Tamandua tetradactyla: one gene and its partner. The protein of the gene in region 2 interacts with the protein of the main gene of each other region in a pairwise test. Links are inferred from orthologs where the notes say so. Each region holds a gene or a part of one and is shown on either strand. Other genes may lie near its edges.

The links.
Region 1: the proteins of NAV2 (region 2) and ING5 interact in binary tests that used the Homo sapiens proteins (3 or more experiments, as listed by UniProt). The two-hybrid records come from large-scale screens. The link is inferred for Tamandua tetradactyla from reciprocal best matches to the Homo sapiens genes NAV2 and ING5.

The regions. Positions count from the first base shown.
Region 1 is NC_135329.1:80,715,511-80,719,413, forward strand, and holds the start of ING5 (inhibitor of growth protein 5), read right to left. Parts: upstream 2,440-3,903; 5' UTR 2,392-2,439; coding exon 2,355-2,391; coding exon of another isoform or gene 2,316-2,354; exon of another isoform or gene 2,264-2,315; intron 1-2,263. UniProt on the Homo sapiens protein: Component of the HBO1 complex, which specifically mediates acetylation of histone H3 at 'Lys-14' (H3K14ac) and, to a lower extent, acetylation of histone H4. Component of the MOZ/MORF complex which has a histone H3 acetyltransferase activity.
Region 2 is NC_135334.1:95,257,221-95,261,123, forward strand, and holds the start of NAV2 (neuron navigator 2), read left to right. Parts: upstream 1-930; 5' UTR 931-1,051; coding exon 1,052-1,309; intron 1,310-3,903. UniProt on the Homo sapiens protein: Possesses 3' to 5' helicase activity and exonuclease activity. Involved in neuronal development, specifically in the development of different sensory organs.

The DNA of each region.
Region 1 (3,903 bases), on a different chromosome or scaffold from region 2:
GGAAGGGAGGAGGTGGAGGTATGCTGTGAAACAGCTGCAAGTAGGACAGGGAAGGAGGCCCAGGGTGGGCAGACATGCCGACTGAGACCCCATCGCCCCCTGGCCACATGCTCACTGTCTAGACAGCAGCACAAGTCCTGCACATGGCAGGAAGCAATCAGCATTGTCCTCTTCCCACAAACAAAACAAAAGGGAGGATTGGGGAGGTCACAGGGCTCTCAGTGGATCCCAACCCAGCCCACCAACCCCACAGCTAGTGCCAGCTGTAGCACGTGCCCTGCCTCTGAGGACAGAGGCACCCCCTGTAAGGCAGAGGCGCACTGGGTTCCGCTGGAGCAGAATGGAACGGCTTGAGAACGCTCCTCTGGCTCATAAGAAAGACTCCTCTCTGAAATCTTTTCTTGGAAAGAGTTGAATCACTTTGGTTCCTAATCAATATAGCTTGAAGGAACAAATAATGCCAGAAAACAAGGCAATTACTAGCAGCAAACTATCTGCAGTTCATGAGGATCTGAAAAACAATAAAAATACTAGTGTTCAGCACAAACTGGAGAGAAGTTCAGACGAAGGGCAAAGCAAGTGCAAAAAAGAGGGGGTGGCGTTAGCTGGATGTGAACAGGGCACAGAGGCTCATCCTCCAGGCCATCTTCATCTTCTACCTCACTGGCCAGAGCCAGATCCCTCTTGGAAGGCCCCTCAAGTACCCGAGATTCCACAGTTCATTCCCCCAACATTTGAACTCATTTCAACACAAATTCTTAATAAGTCCCAGGCACATGGGGGGGAAGGTGGTAATGAGAAAAAGAAATCCCTGCCTCCCCAGGACAGTGTCCATTTCCAACTCTGGTGAATTAACATGGTACTTTCAGTCTGTGATGGCTAGTAAGCAGAGCTCTGGGCAAGTAGGCAGGTTGGGGTCACTCTCCCTGAAAGACAGGTGCTCTGATGCTCTGAGGCTGTGGGATGCAGGCAAGTTACATAATCTTTCTGTGCCTCAACTTCCTCACCTGCAAAGTGGGGATAATGGCGGGACCCTCTGAAGGGTATGGGTGGGTTAAAGATGGCCCATGGGAACTGGACTTCAGTGTTACTCAGTTTTAACCAAAGTTATATTGGAGCCTGCAGCCTTCAACTGCTATACTGAAGGGCCCCATACCACAATGCTGCCCTGGGCCCCACACCACACTCCTGGTCAGAACCCCAGCGAGCCCCTCCCATCCACTCTCCAAAGCCAACCAAGTGAATCCCCAGTCCACCCCGCTCAGGCCCAGGATCTGCTGGGCTGCACCCTCCATCCTACCAGGGCTTTGCCTCTGCCACCTTGCAGGACAGTAATGACCCTGTGCTCTTCACCTACCGCGCTCCTTGTCGCCCTTAGGCTTCTGTGACCCTTCTACAAATCCACCTTCCCCATTAGCTGGTGAATTCCATGGAAGTGGAAGTCATGTCTGCAGTCCTGGCACACCAGCCCCAGTGCCCCTCCTCCTCCTTCCTGGGTACCCACGACGTTGGGGAAACACCTCTACTCCACCACCTCCTTGACTTGGCTTTCCCACCAACCCATGCACCTCTGCTCGGGCCAGAATGGGGCCACCATGCCCTCACTGCCTAGGATCCGGTGCGCCACCAGCATCCTGCGCCCAGGGAGGTGACTTGGGGAGCTGGCCCGGGGAGGTGACCCAGAGAGGTGATCCAGTGAGAAGGTCCGGGAAGGGCACCGCAGACCCGCCCACTCCGGAGCTCCGGATTCACACACCGGGTCCGCCAGCTGGGCTCGGGCGGGTCCCTGCACCTCTCCAGGCCTCGGTTTCCTCGTATGCAACCTGGGAGAGTCGCCATCGACTCAAGTTTCCCCGTGGAGCAAGCCTGTGGTCACATGTAAGGCAAAGGGAGCCGCTCCGGACACGGGCACCGGGGAGAGGCTGAGGGCGTCAGCCCAGGCCAGCGGGGGGACCCGGCCACCGAACGGCCCCCAGCTCAGCAGACCACCCCCTCCCGAGAGGTAGCAACTGAGGCTCGGCGCTGGGAGCCCGCTCTGGTACCAGCTAAGACCAGCGCGTCCGGCTGGGAGGGGGCGCGCGGCCGGGGCGGAGGCGTGGGTGGCCCTGCCCCGCCCTCGGCCCCGCCCCTCCGTGACGCACCTCGAAATCGCCCGGAGCCCGCGCCGCGTTCAGGGCCGCGCCCGCCCCGCCCCGCCTCCCGCCCGCGCGCGCGCGCGCTCGTCGAGCGTCGCCCCGCCAGCCCCCGGCCGCCCTCACTAATCTCCGGCCGCGGCGCGCAGAAGCTACGCGCGAGGAAGCCAGGCGGCAGCGGTCATGCAGCGGCCGGGCCCGGGAGGCGGGGCGGGTGCTTACTGTCCAGGTAGTGCTCCAAGTACATGGCGGTCGCCATCTTCCTCCGCGGCCGCGCTGGGGCTCTGCGCGCGGTCGGCGCGGGTTGCGAGGCGAGGGGCGGGGCCGGCCCGCATCTCATTCACTATTCATAGACCGCGGGCACTGATTGGGGCGCGGGCCGCCGGGGCGGGGCGTAAGTAGGGCCCGCCCCCCAGCTTCCGCTCGGCGCCCTGCGGGTGTGCGCCGCCCCGGGTCTGGGCCTCCGCCGGGTGGGCCGCAGCGCCGGAGGGCGTATGGGCGTAGAGGCACAGTTGGCGTGCGGAGGCCTCAGGGGCTGGGAAGGGAACGGTGGCCATTCTCGCGGTTCTAAGCTCGAGGCACCCGGTGTGCACCTCCAGCCTGCACCTGTTCGCGGCCGACCCCTACTCTGGTCATCTGGGCTAACACGTGCAGGCTCTCGGCCCCCGAGGTGTCGGTGAATCCTGTCTGTCATTCCCAACCCCACCCCACCGTCTTGTCGCACCGCAGTCTTTCCTGCCGACCCAGAACTGGAGGAGGAGCCGAGGGCGGACGGCCACCTACGAGCCAGGGAGAACTGCCTGTACCTCCCATCTCTGGTCTTGCCGCTCCGATCGAACTACTTGGGCCTCTGCTTCTTCCCTTAAACTTGCAGAGGATGTGACCCACCCCTCCTCACCCCTCCACTGGCAGTAGCTGCCCCCACAGCATCAGCCTTGGCATCTAATAGACCCACTGTCCAGTCCACTTTGGGGTCCCTTGAGCAGTACCTGTCACGTGGAAAGTGTTGAGAGTATGACTGAATGCAGCCTTTGTAACGATATGATTCAGTGTTAAAGGAATGAAAGAGCGTGAAAAGGTGTATCCTGAAGTGGATGTAAGAGTGCTGGAGGAGAGTAAAAAATGGGTTTAGAAGGTGCAATTCGGGATGATGCTTCCCTTCTGTGTCCAGACTCTGATGTCCTAGCTGCTGGTGCGCCCCTGGACCCAGGTTCCTCCACTCCCTGCCGCCCCAGCCTGGCCTCCCTAGCTGATTTTTAGGCAGAGGACTACCCTTGGGTGATGTGGCCACTTCCAGGGCCAGCCCCTATTCAGATAATTTCTCCTCGCTCAGAAGTTAGCCCAAGGTAGAGATTGCCCAGGATGTTCCCAGCCCTGAGGGGACAGATGACTTATAGCCAGAACTAGCCTGAGCCCCAGGTCCCTTCCCACAGTCCACATGAGTTGCTGAGGCTGTGGGTCACCCAAATTATCATAACCTGACAGATGCAGATGTCATGATTTTGTCATTTAAAACCTATTCCTAAAGGTAGGCCCCCCTTTGTGAACTGTTCCGCAAACTGCAGGCAAATACTGCAACAGATACATACACGTTCTATTGCCAATTTTCATTCATTATTTCCTACCTCCTGAGGGTGCAGGACTGTGACTGTCTTGCTCATCTTAGAATCTAAATGATTGCAGTTTGGGGAGCACCCGTCCAGGCCCCATTTAATGCTTGCACAAAGAAACACACGCATGCACATGGATTTTTAATGTGATCGCACACTAC
Region 2 (3,903 bases):
AGTCGGCCCGGCGGGAAGCGCGCGGCCGAAGCAATGCCGCAGAGCGGCTACCAGCCCGCTTTGTACTTGCGGCCAAGCGCGGCCCCAGAGTTTCGGCGGCGGCCTGGGAGTTGAGGTCACGCCCCCTTTGCAGGGAGAGCTGCGGCGTCTGATTGGTGCGCCGCGAGCCAATGAGCGCGCCGGGGCGGTCCGGGCTGTCAGCGCGCGCCGCAGCTGAGCCGGGCGCAGCCTGTCCTCCCCTGCGCGGAGCCCTGCAGCCAGCGCAGCCTTCGCGGGAAGCGCTATCGCTCGCGACCGCCGCCTTGCCCAGCCCGCCAGCCGCGCGTCCGGGTGCCGGCGCTCCACGGCCACAGGCTTGCTGCGCTATAGCGCACGCAGCACGTGCAGACCCGCAGGCGCTAAGGAGCTATCTGTCCGGGAAGCTTCTGGGCACTGTCACGCCGAGAGACCTTTCGGGGCTTTTGCCGCGTCTCTGCGTGTCGGGTGACACTGCGGTGCTCGCGAGCAGGGTGGTAGCTCCCTCTCAGGGAAGACGTCTTGAGCTCGGTGCTTTCTCTTTCTCTCCTTCCTCCCCTGCTCGCTCCTTCTCTCGCCTGATCATACCCTCAGTCTCCCGAAGCGCGAGGCGTGCGTCCCCGCCGCTTCTCCTTTCCAAAGGGGCCTCCTCACGTCGGAGATGCAGTGACAAGATAATATGGGCGTCCAAGCCACGGTTTCCCAGGAGGAAAATTGCGAGAGGCAGCAGCCACCGAGCGCCCAGAGTTCGTGAGCAGCCCACCCAGGAGAGGCGTGAGACCCGGCTGCAGCATCTTGCCAGGCGGGAACCGCTGAGCGCTGTGACCAGTTCCGGGCCCCCATCGCGGCACCCTGAAGGCGCGCTCGCCTGCCCGCTGCGTTCTCCCCGACTCGGGGATTTTTTTATTCCGCCGCTGGTGGTGGGCGCCTCGTGGGCCGAGGCCCGGCGCCTGCTCTGCCGCCCGCGCTGCCTTTAGCGGTCGCCTCCGCTGCCGCTGCCAGGGACGTGCTGGGAAAGCCGAAGCCCCGGGAGAAGATGCCGGCCATCCTGGTCGCCTCCAAAATGAAGTCGGGACTACCCAAACCCGTGCACAGCGCCGCGCCCATCCTGCACGTGCCCCCGGCCCGGGCTGGCCCCCAGCCTTGTTACCTCAAGTTGGGAAGCAAGGTGGAGGTGAGCAAGACCTCCTACCCTAGCCAGATCCCCCTGAAATCGCAGGGGCTACAGGAGCCGACGGGGGAGGGGCTCCCGCTGCGGAAGAGCGACTCGGTGGAAAATGGGTTCGATACCCAGGTGAGAGGGTGCTACGTGCCCTGGCACTTATTTCGGGGTGGGGGTAGGGGGCGAATGGTGAATACTTTTTTTTGAGGGGAGTGGCGAGGGGGGAACGGCTAGGTGGGGTGGAAAGGGCTGTCCTTATGGCCGAGGAAGGGAACGGCTCCCCTTGGTTAAGGGGCAGATTCGGGGATGCTCCAGCAGAGTGGGCCGGCGGGTGGGTGTGGCCCGGACGCCCGAGGTTTGCCAGAGGAGCCCTGCGAGACCCGCGGTAAGGGCATGCCTGCTGCTTCCTTCTGTTGGGTATGACCAGGCTGCTCTCAAGAAGGGTGTGCAGCTCTGGAAATGGCAGGTTCTGCATGATCATGGGCTTAGCCCCAACACGGGAGTAATATGTGCTGCTGTATTTGTTTCTGTCAGTTCCACCGAGGACTGGCCCTGCTAAGGGGTGGTCTGCCACCCAGAGGCTTGTTCTTTTTCCCACTGGACTCGCTGCCCCCTGACTTGGCTTCAAGGTTCAGGAAAGGAGCCTGCCTGAGGGAGGCAGTGGTGGGCATGCAGGCCATCCTTTGGAGTGACAGAATTCCCGGTGTGGTGCTGGGCTGCAGTATGAGTGCCGGTGCACCGGCTAAGGCAGGCAGCTGGAGATTCCTAGCGTCTTGGCTGGCTGCTGCGGTGGGGGTGGCTGTCTCAGAATGGCGGCCTGAAACCAAGCCCCTCCTTCCTGGGTGGTAGATCCTGGTGCTGGTAGCCAGAGTGACTGGGGGTACCGGTGGGAAGGTGGCTTAAAGGGAGGTGGTTCATTCTACCTTTCCAGACAGAGTCCACATCACCCAATTCGGCCGTGTGACAGGCCCGGGTCTTGCAGTCTCTTTTAAGGAAGTCAGCAAGGGCCAATCAGGTTCACTTGGCCAGATGCCCTCCTGCTGCCTTTTTTTTTTTTTTTTTTCCTCTTCTGGTAGGAGGGAGTGGGGGCATGCTGTATTTTCTTGGCAGTGTTTCAGTAGGGACTTTTGGGGACAGGCAAACCTGACGGATGTGACTGTCCTGGTCAGGAGAGGCAGGAAGCCAGAAGGGAGGTGGTTTGGGGTTGGTGTCAGGGTAGTGGCAACAGACCAGCTGACCTTTTTGGCAAGTTTTTCTCTGCTGACATTGTCTCCACCTTCTCCTGGAGCTTTCTCTGATCGGAGGCTAGAGCTCAACACATTCCTAGCTTTTCTGGTGAGGCACTGGAGCTGGAAGCTAATTGTAAGCAGACTTCTGGAACTCTGAGCTGGAGAAAGCCCTCAAAGTAGATTAAGCTCCCATGTCAGGCTGATAAGCATGCCCCTTGCTGCTGCACTTGCTAAACATTTTTGGAAGCTGACAGGTTTGAGTGATGGCATGTGGGAGGAAGGCAAGTTTTCCTCCCATGTTTCCAGGGCCCCTCTCTTCTAAAGTTTTATGTGTCTACTCGTTTTCTTTTGTGAGCCAAGGGATTTGTCCAGTGGACTCTGAAAGGGAATGAACACTGGGGTATATGCCTGCGGGGTTTTCCCCTTCGTGCTTGGAAGTAGGGCTTATGAGATGGGGTGGGCTGTACATGAGTGAGCAGAATGGTGACTCAGGATGTGACACACTCCCTCGAGCCTGATGAGGAGGATCTGAAGAATGAGAGGGAAAGTAGAGACTGAGATTGTTCATACCCAGGCAGCTGTTCTGCCTGGTGCCCATTTGACCCTTCATTTAACAAACATTATCGGAGGATGTGCAGTGGGCAGACCCTGGAAAGGTGATTCATCATCCTCTGCCCTGAAAAATGTTCTCTCACTTCTCCCTGGGGGCTGGCATGGTCCCATTTGCTTGGGTCTTTGCTTCCCTCCCTCATCCTTGGTACACAATTCCCAGAACCTTCACCCCACCCCACCCCCACCCCAATCCACTTCTCTTGCCCTCAACAGGTCCTTGTTGCTGACCACAAGGGTGATTTGGAAGGACTGCTGAGGGAAATGATCACCTCTGAGTGGAATATCACAGTTTTTCCCTGCCAGCCCTCTCTGCGTCAGTGTCCAGGGATCCTGGAAGCTCTTCCCTTTGTCAGGTGGCAGATCCTTGTTCTCTTCTCAGCCCATCCTGACATCAAAGAGGCATTGGAGAAAGGGGTTTTGCTTTCTTTGGGCAGCCCACACTCTGACTTACATGGTGCCCAGCCTTCAGAAAAGCCTCCCAACTTCAGCTTGAAGACAGTGTCTGATTTGTGGTCTGGTAGTCCCCCTGCCCCAAAGCTAGCATTTATCACTGGCAAATACTTAGGAGGTGATGAGTTAAATTACAAATGATGTCTCAGGGCCTCTGCCTCCCCTTTTATTCAGTTGATTTTTGACAAAAAGCTGGGTTGCGCAATGGTTAACAGCTTTAAAGTCAGATGGTTAATTGGTGGGGTATCTGATCTCGGCCATGTACTAGTTGGGTGACCAGGTGGATTAACCGCTCTGGGCCTCAGTGTTCTCATCTGTAAAAATGGACATAAACAGCCATGATAACTGGTTTGAGGATTAAGTAAAATAATGTGTGTGGAGGATTTAGCATAGTGTCTAATAAGAAGCACTTCATAAAATTAGGTGATCCTGTTG